Drosophila melanogaster: one gene and its partners. The protein of the gene in region 3 interacts with the protein of the main gene of each other region in a pairwise test. Each region holds a gene or a part of one and is shown on either strand. Other genes may lie near its edges.

What was found.
Region 1: the proteins of sordd2 (region 3) and CG7220 interact in a two-hybrid assay, tested with the Drosophila melanogaster proteins (one large-scale study listed by BioGRID).
Region 2: the proteins of sordd2 (region 3) and Ubc4 interact in a two-hybrid assay, tested with the Drosophila melanogaster proteins (one large-scale study listed by BioGRID).
Region 4: the proteins of sordd2 (region 3) and HLH4C interact in a two-hybrid assay, tested with the Drosophila melanogaster proteins (one large-scale study listed by BioGRID).

The regions. Positions count from the first base shown.
Region 1 is NT_033778.4:10,731,121-10,737,975, forward strand, and holds CG7220 (uncharacterized protein), read left to right. Parts: upstream 1-1,578; 5' UTR 1,579-1,676; intron 1,677-4,260; exon of another isoform or gene 4,261-4,699; 5' UTR 4,700-4,803; coding exon 4,804-4,935; intron 4,936-5,536; coding exon 5,537-5,628; intron 5,629-5,772; coding exon 5,773-5,875; intron 5,876-5,939; coding exon 5,940-6,171; intron 6,172-6,236; coding exon 6,237-6,250; 3' UTR 6,251-6,305; downstream 6,306-6,855.
Region 2 is NT_037436.4:9,696,353-9,701,014, reverse strand, and holds Ubc4 (ubiquitin conjugating enzyme 4), read right to left. Parts: upstream 2,680-4,662; 5' UTR 2,323-2,679; coding exon 2,260-2,322; intron 2,050-2,259; coding exon 1,897-2,049; intron 1,670-1,896; coding exon 1,286-1,669; 3' UTR 534-1,285; downstream 1-533. Other genes in the region: CG6761 (uncharacterized protein), read left to right, coding at 1-314. UniProt on the Drosophila melanogaster protein: Catalyzes the covalent attachment of ubiquitin to other proteins.
Region 3 is NC_004354.4:15,796,383-15,800,882, forward strand, and holds sordd2 (suppression of retinal degeneration disease 1 upon overexpression 2), read right to left. Parts: upstream 2,781-4,500; 5' UTR 2,589-2,780; intron 1,890-2,588; 5' UTR 1,851-1,889; coding exon 1,285-1,850; intron 1,222-1,284; coding exon 1,055-1,221; intron 990-1,054; coding exon 871-989; 3' UTR 526-870; downstream 1-525. Other genes in the region: CG15602 (uncharacterized protein), read left to right, coding at 3,292-3,339, 3,411-3,655, 3,714-4,191, 4,257-4,500.
Region 4 is NC_004354.4:4,644,607-4,649,411, forward strand, and holds HLH4C (helix loop helix protein 4C), read right to left. Parts: upstream 2,809-4,805; 5' UTR 2,701-2,808; intron 1,837-2,700; 5' UTR 1,762-1,836; coding exon 1,258-1,761; coding exon of another isoform or gene 1,186-1,257; 3' UTR 521-1,185; downstream 1-520. Other genes in the region: CG3062 (uncharacterized protein), read right to left, coding at 152-178; mRpL30 (mitochondrial ribosomal protein L30), read left to right, coding at 3,361-3,488, 3,569-3,983; torsin, read right to left, coding at 4,079-4,805.

The DNA of each region.
Region 1 (6,855 bases), on a different chromosome or scaffold from region 3:
TGTAACAGTGAGTATTCAATACGAGATACAGCTTTTAAAATAGATATAGAATTAAATGTAGCCAAATTTAAATAAAAAAAGCATCTTTGCTTAAAAAACTGGCAAAATACATATATTTCATAGCTTAAAAATAAGCTAATTGTTTGTCCTATTCTTTCTTACGGGTATCTACTGTACATCGAAAATACTGTGTTGAATCAGCTGTTTGTACTAAACACATCTAAAAAAAACACATCCATTCTAGGGACCACAACAACTTTTCTAAACTGTCGTCAGTATAACTTGTCAACCCAAATTGGATTGACAAATTTTTAAAACAATTATTGTACTCCGCTGAAATTAAACTATTTACCGGCGTTCAAAGCGGAAAACTCAAAAATACCTACACGCGGAACAGCTGAGTGCGGTATTTTTTAGTTTCGCTCACAATTTGTACGTGCGATGCACGAATCGTTTTCAACACTGCCCGGAGGGTCACACTATCCACTCAGATATTTATTTTTCTAATAACATTTACTTAAAAGCAGACTTTACGCAGAGCTTTGGCCACGGAGGAAACGGAACAGATAGCCAGCGAGCGGAGCAGCCAGGACTTGGAGCAGGAATCGGCAGGAACACCAGGACGGATTTCCCCAAGACAAGCAGTAGTAGTATGTCTTCGAAGTCGCCAAGCGAGGTGAGTTCCCTTTGAAGTCTTGGGATAATTTCGATATCCGAGGCGTATTCAATATAGTAGAGGGTTTTAACCGCAGCTGGGCAAATGTTAACGATCCGGAAAGGTTTCCCTTCCGCAATCGCGTGTCGGACTGCCATCCCACGAGTAGAAGGTTCAACGTCATCTTATCGTTCTAGAGATTCATAGCTGAGGAGTGACACAGCGCTCTGCAATGATAAGCTTGTCCAGCTTCTTGCTCGATCTACCAGTCCGTCTATCGTTATATAACTTATTGGTTTCTGCAGGCCGAGGTCGTCTGACCCCGGTCGCTAATTGCTGCTAACCCCGCCATAATCGGGCCGCTGTTTGTGCCCACCCACAGGCCACAGACACGGCCCAATGTCATCTGCCTCCCAATGGCCAAATGTTTACATGGCATTCATTGCACTTTCCCTTCGCCTGAATGCTTGTTTATGCCACATAAACAATGCATTTGCATTTTGGCAAAAAACCTTCGATCCTTGCCAGCTCGATGCTCTTTAGGGAGCTGTTAACCTGGCATGGGGAGTTTACTATAGCTCGCTTGAATTTCATTACTTTAAGGGTTTGCCATATGACCATAAAGTTTATAAAACCTGTGTATGTATCAAGTCTTGGCATTGTATCTTTGCTCCTTGGCAATACGTCTTATATTTAAAATTGTATTGTATATTTTACCGGTCGGGATATTTATTGTGTACCTTTTTTAATAAGCATTTTGTACCCGCGCAAATATAATCTGGTTTAATATTGTTCGTTTATGCAGCACCTTTCTCATCAAGCAATGTCTTTTGTATACACATAAGTACAATACATATGTGGCTCACGCGGATCGCTCTCCCGTCTGCCGAAAATAGAAGCTCATCGCCATTGACGCCGCTCGCATTCAGTGCTCGATGCCACGCGAATTCGCACGCGCCGCTCTGCCAGATTCTTCGCGACGCGAAATTCATAAGCCAAAACACTTCGATTCGGATCCAAAGTGCGCAGGTTTAACTTTTGCCAACCATTGATCACCGGTGGCCAAGCGTTTTTCCCAGGGATCCTCTTGTCCGCTCCTCAATTGCGACATCATTGGCACGCGCGAAACATATTAATTGCCCGGCGCTCCCATTTACTCATTAGATCACTATAAATAAACAGCAAGCCATAGCCACCACATTTTAGAACCAGTTTATAGATCGTTTTCAATACCATGAAAAGTGTTTTCAAATTTTGTTATAAATCTGATATCAGCCTGTAGTTGAAAATCAAGAAGTATCAAGCCTTCGAAGTGGCATCATGAAATATGCATGGGCCAATCCGATCACAAAGAATATCAGATTCGCCATAAGGAAGTGTTTTGCCTTGTTAGCACTCCCGCGAGTCAATTAGTGATTTATGGTTGAGTTTAAAAGGCGGTTTCGAATGGCATCCAAAGGGCAGCAGAGCAATTTAGCTGTTTGAAAGTGTCTCCTTGATAAGGTCTTGGCAATAGAGGGATTATTGAAGTCACTGACCTGCCAAACGTGATCGCTGATCGGCAGATTTAATCGCTGTAAAGTGTACCTGCGCAATTTCATTGACGTTGCGATTAATATGTCACTTTCCTCATCAGTTTTCGCATCACCTTCACAGCGAAGAACGCTTTAATCTCAGAAGAGAGACACCTTTGCATTTAAGTCGCTTACATTTCATTTTATTTTAATTTAATTACTGCGATTCCGTTGTCTTTTCCTCACAGCAACAAGTTTCGCACATTGTAATTACACACGCCTTTCACGTGTCTGCGACAACAACACGTCCTCGTTCTGATGGCTTACGTTTCCTAGATTTCCCTACGGCTATATACAATACTTCCATGTCAGCGGCAATCGGCCAAAGGAGATGCTCTAGATGCGCTATGGAACTTGTTGCTCATCCGCCGCGAACGTGACACATGTCGATTGCCGCTCTCTTCAAGCTGATGATAAAGCCGAAACTGGCGCATCAGGTTTTCGTTATTTTATAAAACGCCACTCAGCACGATCTCTGACGTCAGAATGTACGATGATGACGTACCCGATGATTTATCGACCGGTGGCGAAGGGGGCAGGTGGCTTCTTGCCAAGTTTAAGGTTGCAGCGAGTTTATTATACACACTTATGGCCCATCCCTCGGTTCTTCCGCTTTCACCTTTACCGTAATGCGCTTAGCATTTCTCCGGTTCAGGAAATCGCTTTATATGGTTTTCAGACCGGGCCTCTGGGCCTCCCACTTGCATAATTTGGCCAGAGTGTAGTGGCTTGGGTTTGTTTATTTTAGCCTGGCGTGTGATTCACAGCCCAAGGTTGGCCAGCAAATGCGATTTCCAAAACATTTTTCGTGGCGTGATTCATTTCAAATGATTTCCCCATCATGCAGAGCCACCCACAATCCAAATCTTATGTGTTTATGTCTACGCTAATCGTCCTTCACCCTCTGGCTTACCTCCAAAATACTGCGGCTATCAGCTGCCAAAATGTTTATCAGCCACAAAGATTTTGGTGGTGGCACGCTTTATTCCTCGGCCATTGTGCTTAGCCGAAAAATATTCTAGGAAAAAGCGAAATAAATAAAAAACAGACGCGTCCCCCCTTTCCAGCGCCACCAAAGTCTGGCAGTCGCTGGTTTATTTGTTTACACTCTGCTTGGCTTTTATTGCCGAAGAATTTTTCGAGTCCATTGTTTGGTTGTTTTGGCTGTTTTCATAAAATTTCCCAGGCAGCGCTCTTCTAGACGTTGGCATTCAACTGCAGTTTTATTTATTTATTTCTGGCTGATTCAAGCAGCTTTTGTTTTGCTCTCTAAGTTTGATTGAGTCTAAAATAAACGCAAGTAGCCCCCGCTGAGTGTGGCGCGTGTTTATTGGTCTGGCCTACTTCAGCGCTGATTTTTTCGCGTTTGGCGGCCCATTTGGGTCCATCATACTATATACTATACTATAGTACACTATGGTTGCGGAACTTATTTAATGGGTCCACTTAAATTGGCCTCGCTAAGTGGTTGTCGATCTGTCGCTTCATTTAGAACCAGTTCTCTGTAAACCAGTGTCCGACTTATATAATCGATCATCTTCTAGGGCCCTGCTTGATTGCTTTTAATCATGAGCAGACGCTCGTCTTCATTTCAGTTTAAAAGCCGAAGATTTCATTGTGCCATCAATTGAAATGTATGCCCCATTGACGTATGCAACCGTCTTGAACACTTGTGTTCCTTTTGTTCGAGTATGTGCAGTGAGCAAAATGAGTTCGCAATTTACTGGGAAAATGCTTCTTTATGAACTTCAGTAAGTGCTGTTTACCAGTTGAACTTCCGTAATATTAAAATTGTTGATTATATATAAATATATTTTTGGTACCTCAATGCGTAGAGCTTTTCCCACACTGTATTAACATATACGTAGGATGTGCTTATCGCCACTTCCGTCGCTGTAATCTAATCGTGTGCTTATCAGGTAATGGCTGCGTGCCAGGGCAGTGGTCCGATAAGCGTTTCTGCCAATACCTTTGGTGGAGCGAGGGGCTGTGAGAGCCACCATTTCGTGATCCGGGGACACAATCGCGACTTAAGTTTAGGACCAAACCAGCTGGACGGGCAACTTGTTCAGGTTAACGAACTAGTTTGGGCCGTTTCTCGCTGCACTTGCGAATTCTCATTTTTGATAGTGCACAACCAACGTAGATATGTATACACAGATCGGGTGAGAGCGGGGGGTGGTGCGATTGGAGAGGTGCCGAAAGCGGCGACGACTTCTACTACTTGTGCCCGACAGTACGTACACAGAGACACGTCGCTACATCGGGCTTCGTCACTCGACTCGCCCTGCAGTCTCTCCCACAATTTTCTGGGCGCTTTCCTGCAGTCGTCCCACGAACGTTGCCGCAATTGGTCTACACGAATCGGTTCGCTAATAAAATGACTGCCATGCCCCACGCCCACTCTCGCCTCCTAGGAAAAACGCTGGCATATTGAACTGTGCGACTAACTAACTTAAATACTTAAAAGCAAGCCCAGCAAGCCGAGAGCAATCTGCCTAAAAGTGACAAGTTATAGGTGACACAACAAAAGCTAAAATTTGTGAGAAACTGTGTGAAAACTAGAACTACAAAATGATGAAGCTGTTTAAAAAACCCAAAGACAAAATACCCAAATCGGAGATTTTAACCGAGCCCAAGGAGCCCAAAACACCGCCGGTCTCCAAGTGCGGAAAACCTTTGCAGTTGGACAACTCGCGATGGGAGGCAAGTATATTCGAGATATTAAACCTGAACTTTGGCCAGATATCGCGTTCGAACAACTGGTCGTTAATATACATATAGTGTTCCATTGCATCATGAGTATGTAGTATTTTGAGTTTCAAGAAATCTGCGTGAATCTTCTGTTGATTCTCTTCAAGGCTGTACCAAGATTTGTTTTTATTATTCTTGGCATTGCCAAATCCAAACCTTATCGATCAAACCCATTTATCCGCAGCTCATTTGTGGGGGCAGCGGTGCGATACTTGTTTATGGTACAGAAAACGGGCCTGCAAGTGCCAATCACTCGATAAGAAGGGGGATCCGAAAGACGGAAAAACAATCGTCGGTTCTATAAATTTCAGTGACATTTGTTTTTATCTTATCGAGCATTTCGTTTATTTATACGCGCGTAGGCATATAGCGTATATTGGCGTTTGTAAGCCAAAGGAGAAATGGCGCACCGATAAGGCGAGCGGAAAAAATAAGTCTTGAGAACTCTTAAGTAGAATGTCCCAGCTGTAGGTGTGTTTCGCGATAAGATATACGGCGAACTGTCCGAGTCATTAACTAATATAAGTCTTAAATTTTATTTTCTGCCCCACAGCGCCGCCTACACAAAGAGCTGATGTCCCTGATCAAGGAGCCGCCACCAGGCGTAACCATCGACACCGAGAGCGTACAACAAAATTTATCCGAGTAAGTATGGACTTCGAGGCGGAGTAGGCCAAGTTCAGCGACAACTGAAACTGGTTTAAATCAATTCGCAATTCAGCAATTCGCACTGAAAACAAAGCCCGCAGTTGTTGGAAGCTGACACTAATATCGCTGTTTTGTTTACAGATGGAAAATAAACATTAAAGGTTTCGAGGGCACACTTTACGAGGGCGAGGACTTCCAGCTACTTTTCAAATTCAACAATAAATATCCGTTCGATTCGCCAGAGGTAATAATTCAGTTGAACAAAGCGAAGCTGTATGGAATCTTAACCATGTTCTCTTAATTTCCAGGTGACCTTCATCGGCACCAATATACCGGTGCATCCGCATGTCTACAGCAACGGACACATCTGCCTATCCATTCTGACCGAGGACTGGTCCCCGGCGCTGTCCGTGCAGTCCGTGTGCCTTAGCATAGCCTCCATGTTGAGTAGTTGTCGCGAAAAGAAGCGTCCGCCGGACAACACGATATACGTAAAAACCTGTAATAAGAATCCTAAAAAGACTAAATGGTGGTACCACGGTACGTATGCGTGATTTTCCAACTAAAGCCCACTGACTCTAAACTTGACTAATTGTTTATTTCAGATGATTCTGTTTAGTTAAAATTGCCATTTACTAATACTGCCTGCTATTGTTTGCTTTGCGCATCCAACCAAAAAAAAAAAAAAAAAAAAAAACACCATTAGCAATACAGAAGTAGAACACGGCGAGATGCCCCCAGAAATCCAAGAAATGTGGGACGGCGGTCAAGCACTGCTCGTGAGTGGAGCATACTAAAACCCAAGTGCACTCGGATGCGAACGTAATGTGCAACAAAGTAAATGAAGTTAGCGAGAAACTTATGGGTAGTGTTTGGCAAACAATCGTGGCGCATGCAAACAATTCTAATTGTAGCTATGTGTAATCAACAAAAGGCGTGTGCGAAAAACTATTATTAAATGTTAACATTTTAATTAGATTGTTAAGACCAAATTTATGTCTAAATTAAATGTTATCCTACCATTTAACCACTAAGCGTATGCAAACCACTTGAACGTTTGATAGTTCTGGCACCTCGCGCCAGTTGCTGCTTCCACATTCCACATGCATCGTTCGCGGCATTTTCTGCCCGAGTAGCGTGACCCAGCACACACACACATCGCCTCCATCCCAGCTTATATTAATTTTGTGTATTTTATCATCATAGATGAGAAGCAAAACTCAT
Region 2 (4,662 bases), on a different chromosome or scaffold from region 3:
TGTCAGCGCGCAGCAACCAGGATCATCAGCGCGACTTCGAGGAGAAGATCATGAAACAGGTCGCCAATTATGTGACCAAAAAGACCGGAACGGATCAGTGTCTGGTGCAGAATGCCCAACCGCTTGGTGGCTCCTACGTGCGACTCGAGTCCGAATGGAAGGAGATGCTCAAGCAACGTCACAGCCATCACACGATCCAGGGAACCAATGCCACTGGCACATCCGTGGCTCAAAGCAACAGCAGCTGCCTGGGATCCGCACTTGCAACTGGTGGCTCCTCCGTGTCCGTCATGTCCAAGCAAAAGCACAAGTAGAAATTCGTATTATATGTGTGAAGTCATTAACTTATTGGATTCGCCAGCAAGCATCGTAGACCAAATATTTAGTGACAGATTATTAGTCAAATATTTAGTGCAAACCATAAATATTCACATTGAAATGTAGAAAAATTAAATGAATATGTAGAAGAATATATATATAAATGATTATATCTGGATGATATCGATGGGTTCTATTTTACTTTCACGTTTTGTGCAATTATTTGGTTTGTAAATCACCAAGAATTTGGATTTTATTTCAATTTTGGCATTAGACAGAGCCTTAAAAAATGGATTAAACAAGAATTATAGTAATATACATTACATATCTCAATCAATCTAGGGTAAATTACATTTTCCATTCTTCAGTCTAGGCATGATTTACAAAAATCTATTTTAAGTTTGCAGCCTCTTCTTCACAAACCGAAATCATAACTTCTCATTAGACATTTATTAATATTTTTATTTATTTATTTATTAACTTAACGCAATTTACAAAGACTTCGATTTGTTATACACTCCTCGCCTTCACATTTATTTTGTTTTGTAAATCATTTTTGTTTGTGTTTTAGTTTAAGCTTGAAATGGAAAACAACAGTACTGTTTAAGAAAGAGCCTGCAAGTAAATGCGACTGCACGTAAATTAATGAAACAGAACCTGGGTTCAATTACATAACACCACATGCTCAATGGGGCGCGGGCATGGCCTTTGGCTCAACCTTCTGGTGACCCACCCAGCGGCAAAGATGTGCACATTAATCATAATAAAATTATAGAACAGATCAGAGAATTATTATAACTACAGGGCAATGTAATTTCGTGGATAAGATTTACGAAAATATATTGGTGCGTGAGTGTACAAGAATTTAGCGTGATTGCCGTTCTGAAGGATTGATGCTGAAGTTGGCCGGTGTTCTTGGTGCTGCCACCGCCGCGAATGGTACTGATGCTAGTGCGGCTGGGACAAGCTAACTGAACAGGCCCTCGGTGGCCTTCTCCAAATTCCAATTCTCCTTGGAGAGCACGGCGCGCGCCTCATGCTCGTCGATGCCCATGTCCCTGAGACGTTGGATCTTTGAATCACAATCGGGAAAGGTGTGCGGTCCGCCCGCATACGCGTTGGTCCAGTGCTTGGCCGTAAGCAGGAACAGATCGTACTTGTCCTTAAACTGATAGGCCACCACTGCGTCCTGTGGATCGTCCGGCTCTGCGGCGGCCAGGAGCGCCTGCAGCGACAGCAGTACGGTGCGCAGTGTCATCGCTGCAGCCCAGTTGTCCTTTAAGATGTCCAAGCAAATCGCACCCGTAACCGACGATATATTCGGATGCCAGATGCGCGTTATGAAGCGTACCTGCGAAGAAGTTTGCAATTTATTTAGGTTTCAATTACAAGTTACAGGTTCTTATTGCGCCTTTCAGAATTCAAGTTAACATTGTGGATTCATAGAAGTGTCACTTTCTACGAAGTGAAGTCATAAGATACGATTTTTGAAAGATGAGGTGTACTCATGTAAGAGTTGTTTATTTCTAAGCTAGCATATTGTATAGGTGCACAAAGTCTGACATGGCTATTACGTACCTTTGGTGGATTGAAGGGATATGTCTCGGGCACCTTGATCTCCAGGACGAACTTGCCGCCCTCGTAGGGCGTGTCAGGCGGACCGGCGATCTCGCCGCGCAGCTCCGTCCAACTGTCATTGACCAGTTCGATTTTGATGGAACACTGGACGATCTGTTCAGGGATTACAAGCCAAATTAACAAATCAGTGGGGCCAATGTTTACATTTCACAAAGAAAACGGAGCCCATAAGCGCGCCAAAAACGCCACCAACGTTCGCGGACACCCTCCCCCGCCCCCTGCACCACGACCAGGGGCGGTGGTGCAGCTGGCATTGCCGAGGTGCCGTTTGAGTGTCCTTCGGCCTTGGAGCTCGGGACTCACCTCCTCGCTGCGCATCACCTCCTTGAACTCCCGCTTGATCCGCGACACTGCCATGTTCGCCATGATGTTTCCTCCGTTTCTCGGACTCTCCTTTCTGCTCTCTCCCTGTTCCCTGTTCACCGTTCTCCTTTCTCCGCCGCTCCTCTTCACCACGCTCTTCTTGCTGTGTTCTGTTCTGCCTCTGTTTTTATTGTTGCCCCCCCGTGCAATTTTGGATTTTGTGAGTGTTGTGCGTTGCGTAAATTACGCCTGGCTGTTGGCCTACAAGGTTGCTCCTTTCGATCGCTTTTCGAATTGTCGAAGCAACGAGCTCGACCAGCGCACGGAAAATAAAAAACTTATTATTCCAATTTCAACACGAATCTGACTTTTTACAGCGCTCAGCACGTCTATTTTGCCAGCGCTATTTCTTTTTTGTTTTTCCGTAGTGTGACCGCCGCGGTGCATTCGGATAATTCTGAAAGCTCGCCTATCGATTGACGTATCGATAGGGCTTCGGGGAAAGAGCGCGAAAATTGCTAACGAAGTTCGAATGTTCAAATGTTTAGCATATGAATAAATAACTATTACATAGGGACGTAATGAATTGGTGCTACTTGCTGCGAGCCATATATTGCCTAGATACGCCCTTAATACTACCCAGGTACACCCACTTCACTCAACTCATAACTATTTAATCATATTAAAACCTATTAAACATTTTAAGGAGGAGTCTTCTTCTTAACATTGGTCCTCCAATTATGTCCACTGGATGACATGATGACTTTGTTTCCCTGAAGGCGACATATCAGAATCTGGGAATCTTAACCGACACATTTTCCTAACTCGTTTCGATAATACAAATGAAAAGAAACAAAAGCAAAATCTACATAAAAATAACCATATTTACAAACTACTTTCCTAATAAATTCAGCTAAGCCCCATACACGAAGTACTCATTCTTACCTCTTTGTTGATAAAATCTATTTACGTTACAATGATTGGCTGAATCAATTCCAAAGTTGGTTTTTGTACCATTGGATAAAAAAGCCGCAGCTTTTCCTTGGCACACGTCAAAGGTTATTTTCCATTGCGTCTCTGATCTTGAATACTGAATACATGGCCTTATTATATAATCGAAGTTCTTTTGACCTCAGTAATATGGTTCCATTACGCTCGCCCGCCTTGTCTGCGGTCGGAAATTTGAAACTTGTTTTGCGCCCCATAAACAAAAACAAGAAGTTTAATCTTCTAAGGCGTAGGTCTCTCTTGGCAACAGTCCAAAAATAATAGACAGCCATTAATTATGCGCCATACGATCCTGTGTTTATAATGGTTATACTTGGAAAAGGGGTACACGAAGTGTTACTTTATTCACATTGCAATTTTAAATCAATATGAGAGAACTTTACCTAAAAAATTTTTAAGTGATAAACAATTAAGTGGATTACATTTTCAGCAAACTCTTATTAATAAGTTGAATGTTAACAAAATAAAAATATGATCAAAAAAATTAGAGGGCATATTTCATACCTGAAAAATCATTAAAGTCGACATTCTCTTTTACTGCTCAAATTCACGTTTCGCACAGCTCAATGGCGATCGAGAAAAAAACGTGTCAGCAAAAGCGTGTGGGGAAGTTTTGAGAGCCAACGCAACAACAGTTTTCGGATAAGAAATATACCCAATAGACATTCGGAGACTAATTAAAACGGAAGAGCTTCTTGCTTCTCCAACTCTTTGGACACACGTGTTTGTGCTCCCCTTTTGTGGCGCTCTTTCGCCACAAAACAAAACGAGTGACCGACACAAACAAATATGCCGGTTCTCTTTTACTCTCCCCGATATTCCCTTTCGAAGCATATGTATTATGACTGTGTGAAGAGGGATGCGTTTCCTACCCCATAAAATAACCAGATAACCAAAAGATACATTTATTGTCTTGTAACGTAAGGGTATCCATGCTTCAGCTTGATTAAATCAACTCTCCTCTGCGTTATCTCTTGCTCTCTCGCACCAAACAACTCCATAAACAGAAACTCAACTTCCCTCGCTTAAATTCAATTCAAAAGCGTTCTGATTCATTCAGCTTTTGCATTTTCTGAGCAGCGGCTGCATCCAAGTGAAATCACAAAGTACAAGTTTTTTTCGACCAACTTGTACAAACCGCATCGTTCAGTGATTAATAGTTTGTAGTTTAAAAGTAATTGCGACACTTTGCTACCTCACATGTTTCAAGTAAGTCCAGTATGGTGTACTACTCGATTTTGAAGTGTGCGTGCCTTTGTTTTCGCCTCGACTCAAAACATGCGTCGCATTCGGCACGTGGTTTTTGCCCCACCAACCCGCTATCCACGGCTCCATTATTCCTGTACTTGCAATGCCATTTGCGTCAGTTTTTAGGGATAAAACACGGAGAAGAGT
Region 3 (4,500 bases):
CAGCTGATTTGTACAACGCTAATGCATCTATAAACGTTTAAGTCGTAATCGATAGCTCACCCACTGTGCAGAAATCACGTGACCATCCCTAATTAGAACTGGCTTCTTTCAAAACAAAGCAAACGAAATTTAAAACTTTTTCAATTTATATGTTCCATTGGTGACTCTGGTTGCAGTGAGCTTCTTGGCACGGAGCAGAATCCTTTATCGGCAATTCCCAGGAGGTGGAGCGCATCACCACAGCCAATTATGGAGCCAGTGATGAGGCGTCCCCCTCCATTGCCAACAAACTGGCCCACTTAAAGGAGGCGATCTTCTAGAGCGATCGGTAGAAGGTACATATATCATACATCTCATACTCAAGATAAGCCGATATCTTCATGTACATACATGCATCCATATCCTCAGCATCTTCGAAATTCACGTTATCCCTGATCCCTAAAAAGAATGTTGTGCAGTTTAAGTTAAGCAAAAACTTAATGATTTTTTTCACCCATCGATAATAATCTACACGGAAAATAAATTAAAATAAATGTTTTTAATGTTTTATAGAATTTAAAATATAAATTTATACAATTTTTGAAATCTACATTTGAATTAAATCATTACGATCCAATTATTTCGAAATTTCAGTTTTTTATGCTGAAGTCGTAGGGTATTGCAGACTTTTTGAAATAATTTGGGACCCAATCCACTTCTGTTTTGCGAATCCTCAAATTACAATTATAACCGAATGCTAACAATTTATGTTAATTAATCACACCAACGACTATAGCCCAACGAGTTTAACAATATTGTTGATTTAACTGGAGGATACTGCTATTTGATTACTTCGCACGCTTTCCATTGACATTTGAATATAGGTTCTTCTTATCGGGATGATCCGTGCACTATTGGAACGAGCAGCCCATATATCACAAAAACGACAAAATGCCAGAACAGTTTTGACAGGGCCCAGGGTTCATCTTCGTGTAGCCTTCTAATATCAGCTAAATACATGGGCAAATGTTATTTAATGTCAATCTCAGAACTATTGAGATGGCATGTAACCTACCAGGTGGACGTGGTTCGAAAAAGTTGAGCCTAGATGTTATGAACCCGAAAGGAAAAGCTCCAATACCGAAAGACATGTGAAATCCGTCGCCGAATCCGAATCCAGGGAACCCGGGAACAGGATCTGGTTCTGTACGTTGTCCAGCGGGGCGTGGTGGAACTTTGTTACTGCAAAACACATATAAGTTGGGTTATTGAAAAATACTCATGTTGAAAGCGGTTCAAACCTACCGTGGATCTTCCTGGTGTGTACTATTTCTTCCGTACAGCGGTATGACCTTATCCTTATCAACGGCAGCCTTACAAACGGGACAGAGTTTGCGATTGGGACGCGTCAGGAGCCACTGATGCAGGCACGGCCAGCAGAACAGATGGCCGCACATGCTGACCACAGCATCCTTGGCGGTGTCCAGGCATATGTTGCACTCGTAGAGTGAGTCGTCTGCGGTATGTTCCTTCTCCTTGTCCTTTTCGTTGGCTTTTGTGTCCGTATCGGTGCCGCCGAATGGATAGCCACCCTTCAGATCGGCCTTATTGCCACCAGATAGATAGTCTCCAGTAAAGGAATACGAAGTGTTGGACTTCTTCAGTTCCGATGCCGTCGAATTGGTTGGAATCGAGGTACCCAGCGGGCGCAATTGACTTGTAGATGACTCCTCAGCCAAGGGTTCTGTGATATCCCGAGTCCAGGCTATCTTGTCGTAGCTCACGTTGTTGGACAAAGTCGATGAGGACGACGATGCCCCGGTTGATGTGCTGGGAAGCTCCGCTGTGGATACACTTTTCGGTTCCTCCATGGTTTGCCCAAGATGCGGGTAAAGTTTTAGTCGTTCAAGCTGCAACGTAACGTTGGATGATTTAGAAACCCAAATTTGCTAAGTAAGTCTGTGTTCACCCTATTGACAAGTGCCTAGATTGCTTAGATGATTTTCCTAGGCCATTTCTGGTGTACAACTAAGGTCCGCACTTTCTTGAATATGACTTAATTTAATTAAATACTTCAAGCGCAGTTTGAAGGGGGTTTCCCCCGAGTTCCGCAGCATTCAGCATTTGTCCGACCCCATGGGGTGGTGTTTATGGCTACGAAAACCGCCCAAAGGGCGTATTTACCACCAAGTCTTCAAGGATAATGCACCGAACATTCCCATTGGCTGCACCCACATAAATTAAACAAAAAAGTCAAATTTTGTTTGAATTGCGTTGGCAAACAAGACGGTATACCTGCATATGTACCTGGACTTATGTGCGTACTTATGTACACATCTACACACTCAAACACTCGCGTGTATATAGGGCTAGAAGGTTTCCATCTACCTGTTACATATGTACATTGGAACCGATTATATGCTTATTTATACAGTACGTATAGATGTCACATAATGTTTTCATGGAGCACTTCCTATTGGAGTCAAGGGGAATTATATGCTCATATACATCGAGTTCCAGGGATTGCGTTTAAACGCATTATAACTTAATTAAACTATATATAACTTCCTGTGGCACAGCAAATAGTATAACTTCTCAAAATTACTTACATTGTAAGTGTATTGTTTGCAAAACCTGACTTGTTTGCCCTCATTTTATTGTTTGTTTTCGCTCACTGTTTGCTTCTACTTGCCGTGCTAAGTATTGTTAAACCGAATCAGAGAATGTTGCTAAATTGATTGTGTGGACAAGTCAATCAATTGACGTCTTAGCACCTCAAAACAATTGCACTGACGATACCTGACCGAGGCCGATAGACCTTTACCCTATCGGTAAATAGCTGCCTGTATAACAGCCCGTCTCCACCGGACCAAAGTCCACGCTCGCGTTAGATAACTATCGAGTTAGGTGAAAAATCTCGGATCTCAATGAATCATTTGAAAAGTGATCAGTGATCAGTCCTCGATTGATTTGTAAACAAAATAAACTACTAAATACATTTACAAGACTAAATACTATTCATTAACAGCTGTTGTGTGCCATGGACAATCGATACCAGGACTCACTCGACTATCTCTAGTTCCTAACGATCTGGTCACAACAAAGCTCAAGAATTTAATAATATTGATATTAGACTAAACCAAAACAAGGAACAGCTGATTTTTAGAACGCTAATGCGTTTAAGTCGTAATCGATAGCTCACCCACTGTACACTGTACACCATCCCTAATTAGAACTGGCTTCTTTCAAAACAAAGCAAACGAAATTTGAAACTTTTTCAATTTATATGTTCCATTGGTGACTCTGGTTGCAATGAGCTGCTTTGGCTGCGGTCGCAAATATGGCCTATTCTGCAAGGAGGCAAGTGCCATCAAACCAAAGCAAACCAACATATATCACCTACTTACATTGTGTTAAATCCGAAATTTTAGTATGGATGCCCCAACTGCGGCTACTCATTCTGCTCCAAGTGCTTGAAGAGACCAATGCCCGTGCCCCGTCATGCAGGAAAGGTGCACAATGTGTGCCTCATATGCTACGACAAACTATCCAAACTCCAGGCGAGCGCCGATGCCGAGAAAGTTATAGACTGTGATGCTTTGCCGGGGATCTTAGTCACCAAAATGAACCTGGCTCCTCCATCCAAAAGTTCAGATGGCGCCGATGCCCTATTCAAGTAAGTAAAATACCACATTAAAACACCGATTCTGAAACTATAATTCGATTAATTGCAGCGACAGCCTGCCTGTGGAGGAGCTGCCACAGGCATTGGTTCCCAGTTCCAGTTCGTCACCACATTCCAAAGATCACAAGGATCATATTGATGAGAACCTGGACAGTGAGTTGACCAAACGAATGCAGGACTATAAACGAGTTGATGCCACCGATGATGAGATCCGCACCCGTCTGGCCAATCTCACTGGGATGCCGCATACGAAAAGCTACGATAAGAAAGATCTGCTACTGTCCACCGACCAAAGAAACGATCAGGAGAAAATGAGGGACTTGCTCGCACAATTCGTTGACGAAGCCCAACTGGATCAAAATATCAGCAGGCAGAGGGATGACTCAATTTCCGACATTGAGAGACGTCTGCGAGCTCTGCGCGATACACCCGTCGATTCCGATGCATGCCCATCGAGATCCCAGATGGAAAGTATCGCGGACAACGAAGAGGATGACGAGACACTTCTACAGAACATATTGAAAAAGGTTCGCATTTATATAGTAGCATTATTTTTTTTAAGCCAAATCATCACTTTCGTATTCCCATTCAGTATGTAGCAGAATCGCGCTTACCAGAACCTTCCGAGAGTGAAATTAGTCCAATTAACACTGAGTCGCCCGGCAACACCGAAGAATTGCCCTGGTGCAATATTTGTAACGAAGACGCCGACTTCCGATGCCACGGATGTGGTGGGGAACTCTTTTGCACTCTATGCTATAAGGAGTGCCACGATGATGACGAGGAGTACCGTGCTCACGTTAAGGAAAAGTATTCGGCTCCGCCAAAGCTTAAAG
Region 4 (4,805 bases), about 11 Mb from region 3:
TATTATTGCGAAAATGTTTACATCCATGGATCCACACAAATATATATATATGTATATATATATATACCCGTTACCCGTACCAACCAAATTAGGCCACTATTTATGGATATTGAAAACAGCCTCCCAATCGACTAGAATAAATTTGTCTTACCTGCTGTGCACTAAAATGAAGGGCCATTTCGAAATTTTGCACAAAAGTCGAAATTTCCGTGACGCTTTCACAGTTTCTAAAACAAAAAAATAAAAATGTATCCTCAATTTTTGAAAATTATGACAGAGGCTGCTCTACTTCGCTTTTACACAAATGGGCGGGGCTTGGCGCAAAGGACACGCCCGCTTTTGATACGTGGATACGTGGTTCTTGAAGGTTGGTGAAAAAGGGGGAACTGTTAGCATCTGGCTTTTCCGAGCAAAGCGTTCAGACAAATGGAAAACTCAGTCAGAGCAGCTGGTGTCCAAAAGTCGAGGGGAGTGTCGTGCAAAGGCGCGCCAAAATACATAAAGTAGACAATTTTTTATTGCGATTACAATGCTGTATATATTAATCGTTTGAGTATAAACAAATATCACGACTTAAAGGCTAGACAAAAAATGGATCTTAGTTTAAGGTTCTGTTTTTTTTTTCTTGGTTATTTATATTATATAAACCATGATCAAGGTTTACTCCGAGGATTAAGCACTGCTTTCCCATAAATTTAATTGTATGTACTACTGGCATATTTAGTTTTGTTATTTCCTTCGATATTTCTACTTTTCAATTAAATTACACAAACTAATAGCTTATATCTTCTACATTTAGTACGGGCATATTTTAACCTTAGGTTAAATCGTGGCTTTACAATTGTTTCTACGAAAACAAACCTAAGCCTAAAAAAAAAAACGAATCGAAACGAAACGACGGGCATTTGTCTTTCAACAGTGGCAAGGAAAAAAAAAAACAAAAAACAAAAAAATGTATGTATTTAACCATAGGTTAAATAGGTTAGCAAATCGGCAAAATCCATCGAACACTTCGGTTAAGTTGGTGAGATGGCTAATTCGATAATCGCATTATCCATAGCCGCCACCGGCAAAGTATCCAATGGAGCGATGTGCGGATTACAGAGCATGGTGAAATGCGTTTATCGGATGTGGAATATTCGCAATGTTTTCCCCCTAAATCCGCCCGCCACGCCCCCCCACCTCCTACGGGGGGGCGAAAAAATTGGCCTCGTTAAAGAGGCAGCTGGTGGCGAAACTGGAGGCGCCGGCGCTATCTCAGGGCGTCTCCAGCACATGATTCAAATAGGCAATGTAGCAGATGGCCAGCTTGAGGATCTCGATCTTGGAAAGCTTCTTGTCCGGCGGCAATGTGGGCAACAGCTTGCGCAGCTCGGCAAAGGAAACATTGAATGCCTCCACCCGTATACGCTCCCGCGTCGCATGTGCCGTTCGGTATTTGAGTGTCGCTCGCCTGCGACGACGCCGCTCCTCCCGCGATAGACCCACCAATTCCGATGGATCCAAATGGGCAATGGGCGTGGTCCGGCGACGTGGCGCCGGCGTGGGCGGCGGTGGCGGTGCCGGTTGTGCGGCCGTTTCGCACGCCATTCGCGCCTGAAAACGCTTATCGATATCCAGCGTCGTACTGGCCGCATAGTCCTCGTTGACCAGATGCGGATTATTTGGCCCAATCATCTCATCATCGTCGACCAGATAGTAGCGACTAAGCGAAATGCTTTGCGGCGGACCCGCCGCCATATGGCTCATATCGTAGACCATTCTCTGGCTATTTGCACCACTGATTTCGGTGCTGGACACTGGACTTTCTTGCGCTGCCCAGCCTGCTGCTGAATGCTGGAAATGGAAATGGAAGCAAGAGGATGCACAGCTTAGACTATGAATACAACGAAATGTGTACTTGATTGCTTCACAGATCTGCATTTCAAACTCAAGGAAGACGAAAAGTGTGGCTACCTTTGCGGTGGAGCGCTCATGCTATTGAAAAAAAAAAGGTTACAATAGGCGTTGAAGAAATCATAATCCTTGCACTCGAATTATTTATGCTTCATTTGTGGACATTTGTGATGAAGGGTGTCCGTGTGTGTGTGTGTCGTCCTTGCCGATGAAGGACACACCCCTTTTTCGCTGCATTCTGTTTGCGTTTGCTATTATTTTCATTTATTTTTATTGTACTTATTGTGCTTATTGTCGGCATTGTGCGTGTATTGTTTATTCGCAGCATATTTTCACACCTACACAAATAGCTGAACAATCGGCACGTTTATTTGCCCGCGGGAGTTGGCAAACCTCAGCGATGCCAACCCCTTAGGCTTGGCCACCCTTTTTTGTATTGTTGCGGTTAACGTATGATTTTATATCTATTGATTTAATGGGTTTTGGGTCCAAAAAGTGTCACTGGAATTGCATCAAGTCGAAGACGTGTCTATTGATCCCATGGGATGATGGAAATCCGATCTAGTTTTAAGAACTTGTCGTGTAACTCAAGTCCCCTCAAGACTATGAAACTCCAGTACACTTACACATGTCGAGTGCGTGCACATGGTCAAGTTAGCTAATTAACAAATTTCTAGATATAATTTTAAACGAACTAGAGACTTCATTCAGCTATTTGTATCTTTAATTTGATTATTCTACTCGCTAGTACATTCACTTCATTTGCATTGCTCACAATTTTTGGGCTTTGTTGCCTGAACTTACAGCAGTTATCACAGGTGCAGAGTTATTCTAGATCCTTGAGTTGTCTGGCAGATATCCTTGCTTGCCACTAGAGTCGGTTGCTCGCCGGATGGATGCTCACGTGGAACTGACTTCCGGTCGGGAAGCTGCAGCCTCCTTTATAACCAAAATCGGAAACAACCCCATTGCGTTGAAAGCCAGCCAATGCCAAGTTATCCACCCTCGTCGATTAGCGCCAATTGTAGCTGACAAAATGGCGGAGATTTTGATATGAGACCGCCCCTTTCCAGAAATGGACATCATCCCCTGGAGGCTGTGTAATCCGATGACCTAAAAACTTTCTTTTCTCAACTAATTCTTGAAATATTAAAAAAAAAAACAACGAATATATATTACCATCTTATTGATAATGTTTTCGCTATCTTCAGTTTGTAAATGATAAATTATCTTCAGTTTGTACATGATAAATTATCACTTTTAACTTTGCCGCCTTTGCATTTGAATTGTATCGCTTAACAGCAAGCGGTTAACATTGGTTTACATAACGGCAGTATCCATGCTGCCCATCGATAGGCAACTAGTTAACCAGATGTCTGTGTAATCGTTATCGTCGGGGAAACATCAATTATTTCATAAGCGTTTTGCATTTAATTTTATTACAAAGGGGGGAAAACAATTAAGATGAACCTGGGAAGGCTGCTGAATCCACTGAGGAGCACCGCATGTTCGGTGCGCAGCTACGGAAAGCACAACAAGAAGTTCCTCTACAAAAATGGCCAGAAATTTGAGGGTATCACCTACTATCCCAGGTTCGTATTCACGTGTGCAGTGTATAAAAGGAAAACACACGAAATCCAGCATTTGTTAATGCTAAATCTATCCCGCTCAGGACTCCCGATCACCAGGATCCACCCGTGGAGCCGGCGAAACTTTTCCGGGTGCAGCGCATCAAGCCGCTAAAGGGCAATCCCTACTGGGAGAATCGAATCCTCAAAGATCTGGGACTAGACGGAAAGCAGAGCGATTTTACTGTCGTCAAGAACATACCGGAGAACAATGCCCGCCTGTGGAAGATCAAGCATCTAATTAAGGTTACGCCGGTCACGTTCCCCTACGGAGAGCCCACTGCCCAGGATGTCCGGCATACGATACTCAAGGAGAACGGCGAGTGCCTGGTAACCAAGGACCTGGGACCCATCGATACCCGCCTGGCGGCTCGCCAGGATTACGACGAGCAGCCCAAGCGACTGGATACCGATCTGCTGCGCAAAGATGCCCGCCTCAAGTGGCTAAATCCCTGGTAGTTAAAATTTGTTTTCTTTATTCCGAAAAAATAGTTTTTTAAATACAAACCGAAACCCAAACTAAGCATTAAAATGTGGAGTCGGTCGGTCCTTTCTCAGTAAATGGCCATGGCCACCTTCTTCTCCAGCGTCTTGCAGCCCGAAATGGCGAACAAGCTGTGCGTGCGATCGTAACTAATGGAGGAGTTTATTATGTCCTCAATGATTTTTTGGTTGTTCGCTTGCTTAGGATCGCGCCGCCACCTTAAAAGCTCCGCCTCCAGGCACTTGATCACATGCGCCTTCTCCATCGGCAGGAACGGAATGAAATGATCGATAACATGAGACTCAATCATGGTGGTCTTTTTCATACCGCCATCCATGTTATAGGCGGCCTTCCGCAAAAGGGGCTCAAAGTCACTCAGTCGTGTGTCCTCGCGCAGCCTACCATTCTTCATCACACTACCCAGATGACTGGCTATATGACTGCCCGCCGTGTTCGAGAGAAAGATGAAGATTGCCTTTGTGTTATCCGTGCCATCGACAAAGGCGTTGTAGTCCACCAGCGAGGTGAGCTGGTCGAATACTCCGCTGGGCATTTTATCCACCTCGTCGAAGATGAACAAAGATCTCGGGCAGCTACGCAAGGTATCGCGCACCGCATTATTGATTTTCACCCTATAGTTAGACACCTCACTTTCCTTGGGAAAGTCAGCTTGTCCGAGATACTTGGTTACATAGTTCGACCTGGAGCCCTTCAAATACATAGCATCTGCAATTTGCTCAGCCACAAAATTCTTGCCCGTACCGGGCTGGCCGTGAAAGCTGATGACCAGCGGTTTC